2 linked regions of the Tamandua tetradactyla genome follow. The protein of the gene in region 2 purifies or fractionates together with the protein of the main gene of each other region. This does not show direct contact. Links are inferred from orthologs where the notes say so. Each region holds a gene or a part of one and is shown on either strand. Other genes may lie near its edges.

Evidence for each region.
Region 1: the proteins of POLR2M (region 2) and RPAP1 purify together in Homo sapiens (affinity purification with mass spectrometry; 3 studies listed by BioGRID and IntAct, counting the BioPlex papers as one, with this or other methods). This does not show direct contact. The link is inferred for Tamandua tetradactyla from reciprocal best matches to the Homo sapiens genes POLR2M and RPAP1.

What each region holds. Positions count from the first base shown.
Region 1 is NC_135340.1:55,167,061-55,171,186, forward strand, and holds the start of RPAP1 (RNA polymerase II-associated protein 1), read right to left. Parts: upstream 2,778-4,126; 5' UTR 2,717-2,777; intron 1-2,716. UniProt on the Homo sapiens protein: Forms an interface between the RNA polymerase II enzyme and chaperone/scaffolding protein, suggesting that it is required to connect RNA polymerase II to regulators of protein complex formation.
Region 2 is NC_135340.1:73,292,764-73,296,363, forward strand, and holds the start of POLR2M (protein GRINL1A), read left to right. Parts: upstream 1-707; 5' UTR 708-841; coding exon 842-954; intron 955-1,292; exon of another isoform or gene 1,293-1,580; coding exon of another isoform or gene 1,581-1,672; intron 1,673-2,818; coding exon 2,819-3,466; intron 3,467-3,600.

The sequences.
Region 1 (4,126 bases), about 18 Mb from region 2:
TCCAGCAACACATTAAAATAATTATACATCATGACCAAGTAGGATTCATCCCAGGTATGCAAGGATGGTTCAACATAAGAAAATCAACTAATGTAACACACCATATCAACAAATCAAAGCAGAAAAACCACATGATCATCTCGATTGATGCAGAAAAGGCATTTGACAAAATTCAACATCCTTTCCTGTTGAAAACACTTCAAAGTATAGGAATAGAAGGGAACTTTCTCAAAATGATAAAGGGAATATATGAAAAACCCACAGCTAACATCATCCTCAATGGGGAAAAACTGAAAACTTTCCCCCTAAGATCAGGAACAAGACAAGGATGTCCACTATCACCACTGTTATTCAACATTGTGTTCGAAGTTCTAGCCAGAGCAATTAGCCAAGAAAAAGAAACATAAGGCATCAAAATTGGAAAGGAAGAAGTAAAACTCTCACTGTTTGCATATGATATGACACTATATGTCAAAACCCTGAAAAGTCCACAGCAAAACTACTAGAGATAATAAATGAGTACAGCAAAGTGGCAGGTTACAAGATCAACACTCAAAAATCTGTAGTATTTCTATACACGAGTAATGAACAATCTGAGGGGGAAATCATGAAAAGAATTCCATTTAAAATCGCAACCAAAAGAATAAAATATTTAGGAATAAATTTAACTAAAGAGACAATAGATCTATACAAAGAAAACTACAAGAAACTGTTAAAAGAAATCACAGAAGACCTAAATAAATGGAAGGGAATACCGTTTTCATGGATTGGAAGACTAAATATAGTTAAGATGTCAATTCTACCTAAATTGATTTACAGATTCAATGCAATACCAATTACCAAAAACTTACTTTTCAGAAATAGAAAAACCAATAACCAAATTTATATGGAAGGGCAGGGTGCCCCGAATAGCTAAAAGTATTCTGAGAAAAAAAAAATGAAGTTGGAGGTCTCACACTACCTGACTTTAAGGCATATTATGAAGCTACAGTGGTCAAAACAGCATGGTACTGGCATAAAGATAGATACACTGACCAATGGAATGGAATGGAGTGTTCGGATATAGACCCTCTCATCTATGGACAGTTGATCTTTGATAAGGCAGTCAAGCCAACTCACCTGGGACAGAACAGTCTCTTCAATAAATGATGCCTAGAGAACTGGATATCCATATGCAAAAGAATGAAAGAGGACCCATATCTCACACCTTATACAAAAATTAACTCAAAATGGATCAAAGACCTAAACATTAGATCTAAGACCATAAAACTGTTAGAAGAAAATGCAGAGAAATATTTTATAAATCTTTTAACAGGAGGTGGTTCCCTAGACCTTACACCCAAAGCAAGAGCATTGAAGAAATAAATAAACAAATGGGAACTCCTCAAAATTAAACACTTTTGCCCATCAAAGAACTTTGTCAAGAAAGTAAAAAGACAGCCTACACATTGGGAGACAATATTTGGAAACGATATATCAGATAAAGGTCTAGTATCCAGAATTTATAAAGAGATTGTTCAACTCAACAACAAAAAGACAGCCAACTCAATTACAAAATGGGCAAAAGACTTGAACAGACACTTCTCAGAAGAAGAAATACAAATGGCCAAAAGGAACATGCAGAGATGCTCAACTTCCCCGGCTATAAGAGAAATGCAAGTCAAAACCACAATGAGATATCATCTCACACCCACCAGAATGGCCATTATTAATAAAACAGAAAATGACAAGTGCTGGAGAGGATGTGGAGAAAGAAGCACACTTATCCACTGTTGGTGGGAATGTCCAATGGTACAACCGCTGTGGAAGGCAGTTTGGCGGAAAGAGATGGAAACAGCCAAAATTGCGAAGAGATGGAAACAGCCAAAATGTCCATCAACAGACAAGTGGCTAAACAAACTGTGGTATGTACATACGACGGGATATTATGCAGCTGTAAGACAGAATAAAGTTATGAAGTATGTAACACATGGGTGGACTTTGAGGGCATTATGCTGAGTGAGATCAGCCAGAAACAAAAGGACATGTACTGTATGGTCTCACTGATATGAACTGACATTAGTGAATAAACTTGGAGACTCTCATTGGTAACAGAGACTATCAGGAGATAGAAATAGGGTAAGATATTGGGTAATTGGAGCTGAAGGGATACAGATTGTGCAACGGGACTGAATGTAAAAACTCAGAGTGTCTGGTACTTACATAAAGCTTCAGTAAAAGATAGCAAGTAAAGTCACAAGTAAAGCCATCAGTACATTATTTCCACAATCATAGCTGATTTGTCCAGAATCATTCCATGAGAGAAGTGATAATACCTTGAACTACAGTACGAACGGGCGTAACTAGCAAATCAAATGTAAGCAGGGTAGCACTAACAAAGCACGACAGGATTTTATAGGATTGCCTCTGAGGGGTCAGCAGGACTCTCTAACGTTGCAGCCTATCCTCCAGCGCCAGACGCCGCTCAGAGTAGGGTTCGGCGATTGCCCCTTGGGCTCTGCGGTCGGAAGTTATCCCTCCGTACCCAGAGAGAATGAAATCTATGTCGCTCGTGGATGGACGGCCGTTTACCCAGAATATCTGCACCAAAAAGACCACGCCACTGCTTTACAGGCCAGAGATCCTAGAACAGCTTCCGACACCGGAACCAAACAACCTTTACCTGGGCCCTCCGCCCGAGTCCTTCAAGGCCCATCCCTCCAGCCCCACCACCTACTTGCTCTAGGCTCACCAGGGCGCCGCCATCTTGCCCTGCAGGAAGCGCGTTTCCGTCGCCCCGGCTTTCAGCTTCCGCCCCGCAGCCGGGCCCCGCCTATTCGAGGCTAGCCCCGCCCGCTTGGGGGTTTGTGCTTGCTGGCGCCGACCCGTGAGAGCAAAGGTGGGCCCCCGCCGAACTTTGCCGCTTTTTTCCCTCACCACGTTAGTTCTGTACAAAACACCCAGAGCACACATCTCTCTGTTGTACAGCAGCGCAGGCCCCTGGTGTGCTCTCTGTTGTAGAGCAGCACACATATTACACCTGTGGCACAGGCCGAGGGTTCCTCAGGCGCTCCTCTGCGCGCGCTCTGCCGGATGATCACATCCTGCACCCAGCACCCACGCCCGCAGGCAGCCAGTCCACAGAAACCTACATGCACAACAGTGTGACCACTCCAGTGTGTTTATGGACGAGGAAGAGGATAACTAGGAAAACGTGAGGGGAGGCTCTAGAAACGATACATTTGAGGGAGCAGTGCAGGAATGGAGGGGGTGAGGAGAAGGCAGAGAAGACAGCCTCTCTGCCTGCGAGGTTACTACCCCGTTTCTTAAGCATCCTGTTCATGCGATCTCCTGTCTTGGAAAGCTTCCCTCTTTTCCCCTGCCACCGTACCCCCACTCCAATGTCTATCTCTTCCTCCAAGCATTAGCCGAGTCACTCTAAAACCTTTGCCAATGGGCTTACTCACAGAACTTTCCTTGGAATTACCTGGAATCTTACCAACCGCTCCATAGCATATTTGGAATGCACCACCTACCATCACTGGTTACGTTCAACAAGCATGCACTATTTCTTTTAATAGATTGTGAGTTCCTTTAGGACTTTTTTTCTTTTAATTGAGAGATCTTCACACTCATGCATTCTGTACATGGTGTACAATCAGTGGCTCACAATATCATCACATAGTTGTGTATTCATCACCATGATTATTTTTTAGAACATTTGCATCACTCCAGAAAAAGGAATAAAAAGATGAGAAAAAAAAACTCATACATACCATGCACCTTACCCCCCCATTGACCACAATCTACCCAATTTTATTTTACCCTTTGTCCCCCATATTACTTATTATTTTTTATCCATGTTTTTCACTCATCTGTCCATACCCTGGATATAAGGAGCGTCAGACACAAAATTTTCACAATCAGACAGTCACATTGTAAACGTTATATCTTTATATAATTGTCTTCAAGAGTCTAGGCTACTAGAACACAGCTCAACAGTTGCAGGTACTTCCCACTAGCCACTCCAACACACCGTAAACTAAAAAGGGATATCTACATAATGCATAAGAATAACCTCCAGGATAACCTCTCGACTTCATTTGAAATATCTCAGCCACTGAAATGTTATTTTATCTCATGTCTC
Region 2 (3,600 bases):
TCACCACTCTTAGCGGCCTTTGCTAAGGTTTTTGGCGGCGCTTTGGATTAGTTCAAAGAATTGGGAGTGCCATGACAACTAGTGCCCAGAAGCTAGGGATACCAAATATCCTGCAATGCCTGGGACATTGCCACAAATAAAGAATGTTCGGTCCCCAACGCACAGAGCCCTATTAAGAAGGGATGATGGTCTCTAAATAACTTCCCAATGCTACAACTTCACTAAGCTTTGAGCTAAGAGGATCCACATCATAGACCAGGCCCTTGAAAACCCAACCCCATCAATGGCTAACTCAACTTTCAGGTTCCAAATTTTACTTCTTAGAGATACTTCCCCTGATGTCCATCTCGAATTTACTATTAAATTGTCTTGCTCTCTGTTAGTACTTGCTGCCATTCGCCACATCGAAATGAAAATAGTGGCCGTGGCTATGTGCCCACTAATATATAGCGTTTGGTGAGGTCACAGTTGCATTCCATAAATTTTTTGCATAAACATGAAAAACGGTGGCACTCAATAAATACTTTAGATGTAAACAAATGAATAGGCGACGAAAAGACAAGCCAGCAAACGGCGCGAAAAGGGAACTCGGCCGAGGCGCTGACGTCACTCGCAACTTCCGCCTCTTTCCGCTCCTCCCGGCGCCCCCTTCTCCTTGTCTGTGTTTGTTTCCGGCGTTTCAATAAAGCTCGATTCGGCTCGAAGGAGACTCGTTCTTCCGGGAAGATGGCGTCTCCCGCTCGTGCCCCGGAGTCGCCGCCGGCTGCGGGTCTGGCGCTAGCGGCGAGGTCTGGTGAGGAAGCCGACTGCCCGCCGCCTCGCCAGCCTCAGCCCCAGCAGAATGTCCTCGCTGCCCCGCGGCTTCGAGCCCCAGGCTCTCGAGGACTTGGGGCAGCGGAGTTTGGCGGAGCTGCGGGAGATGTTGAAGCGCCAGGAGAGACTTTTGCGCAACGAGTAAGCTTGGGTCCTGCCGGGTCACTGCCAGGCTCTTTTGGTCCCGGCTCCCTGGGAAGCTCCTCCCCACCCCGGGGTTCCCTTCCCGGGAAGGTGACCTTGTCTCAGATTCATTTCTGCCCCACAGGCGAGGGGACAGTCTGCAGCCGCAAAACTGCACCGCATTACGGCCAGTCACGCACTAGTCACACTGCCGGATGAGTAGGGTACTGGACTTGTGTTTTATCGTTTGAGCTGTTCATTACCACCTTGTTGGTTTTCTTTATCCAGGTGTTGTGGCGAATCCTTGAAGGAAAGGTCTGTGCTATAAACTCTTTCTGTGTCCCCCCTCTCCCCACAACTGGTGCCCAGTACAGTAAAGGCTCAATATCTTGTGAATTTCATCTCAAAATCTTTCTTTCACGAACTCTAGGAAGTGGGAGAAGTGGGATATGAAGAATGGTTTATTAAGCCGAGAAAGTTTGAACTCTCACTCAACCAGGGTAGTAATATAATAAGTAATTTTTTTTTTAAGGAAACTTCATTTAGCAGCTAAGTGGAGGATGGTTTGAAGGAATAAAAGGTTTAAGGCAATAGGAGGATATTTTCAGATAGGTTCCCAACAAGGGGATTTCTTAAGAAAGCGAATGAGAACGGTGGCCATGAGATGGAGAAAATTACATCAAGCATGGGATAATTTGAATATGTTGTTTCCAGCGTCCATGCTGGAAGTTTCCAGGTAAACCATTGCCAAAACTAGGAAAATTGGGGGAGGAGAAAAGGTCCAGGTTGAATTTGCTTAGAATGAGTTGAGGGAAGGGCTGAACAGACATTGAGTTAATTATGTCTAGTTAAAAGCTGGAGAAGTGGTCGTGGGGCTCTAGAGAGGAGACTGGAAAAATAGGGGAGTCTCAACTGCAGAGAAGTGTTAATAGTTGAAACTGGGAATGAATGTGGAGAAAGAAAAGAGGGCCTGAGATGTAACTTTTCCTTCCCGTGTATTATATAGCTAAAGAGAAAGGGAAATGGAAAAAAGACTCCACTCAGCAAAAAGGAAAAAATAATCATTTGGCACCTTCCTAATAGATAGGTGTTTTGATTTTGTGAGAGTGGACTTTTTAATGTATAATTCTCTTAACTTTTTCCTCTTAAACATAATTGACAATCCCGAAGAGCTCTTATATCTCTTATATCTATCAGTATTTATGTTTATTAGGAATTACAACAGAGAAATCTTTAAAACACAAAAATATACAAGCATACGTTCCACTAGTCATCACATCACAAAACCTTTGGGAAGCCCTACCCATATGCGAGCATGGGAGTGAAATAGTAAAAAAATGTCTTAGTATTTTTTTTTGTATGCTCTGTGGTGGGATCACATTTCATTATTTTTCCATGTGAGTATCCTGTTATTGTAGCACCATTTGTTGAATTTTTGTTTGTTTGTTTTTTGGAAAGTGCATGGACCGGGAATTGAACCCAGGTCTCCTGCATGGCAGGTGAGAATTCTATCACTGAACTGCCCTTGCACTCCTGTCTTAGTATTTTTATGAAAATAGTTTTGACCTTGCAGACAAGATGGCCTTGGGGACCACATTTTAAAAACTGTTACAATATGGGAATGCTTTGTGTTGTTATTGTATACTTAAATTACTTTTCTGCAGTTCTAGCTAGATGAGACAAAAATTATTCTCTATTCTTCCAGCAGAGTATTTGGGTAATGTCTTAATTTGTTTCATTCTTGTGTGGGGCAGTTGGAAATCAAATTTTTTGTTTAAAAGCCAGTTTTTCTCCTTTTGAGGATAATGCTCTGTTTTTTAAATTCCCATCTTGGGGTTAAAAACATGCCAGTGATGTATACTTGTTCTTTTCCATTTGACAGAAAATTCATTTGCAAATTGCCCGACAAAGGTAAAAAGATCTTAGACTGTGCTGCCAGACTGAAAGCAGCCCTTGCCGAACGTGAAGAATTTAGAGGAAAAAGCGAACTGTTTCATCCCGTTAGATTAGGCTGTAAACCAAGGCAAACTGTGGTTGTAGCAGTTGATGTGGACACAGATAAGACCCAGAATTCTGATCAGATACTTGATACTTCATCACTAATTCCTAACTGTTCCTCTGTGGATAACATCAAGTCATCTAAAACAACCTCACAAAAACAGGGAATTGCAGATCTCACTAACAAAAGCGATGAAGAGACCACAGAGGCAAAGTGCACAGTGAACGAGAGCCCAGGGTCGAGCGTCAGAATCGGTGCAACTTTCTCATCTATAGCTAGTGAGCATCTTCCTCAGCGTTGTGTTTCAGGTCAAGCAGAAGATATTTCCAGCAGCTCTGACAGCCTGTTTATTGATAGATTACAGAAGATCACAATTACAGACCAAGGTGAACACGGCTCTGAAGAAAACACAAGCACTACTAACTTGACAGATCTTCATAGCAGGACTCAGAAGAAGCCCCATTACGTGGAAGTGCTAGAAATGCGAGCCAAAAATCCAGTGCCCCCACTACATAAATTTAAAACAAATATGTAAGTACCATTGGAAATAGATCTAGCATAGGAACAATATTTGTTAGAATTTTTTTTTTTAAGGAGGGAATTTGGGCTTTGTGTGAAAACTACTTGTAGTTAGGAATGAATGTGTTTTGGAAATAGAGCAACAT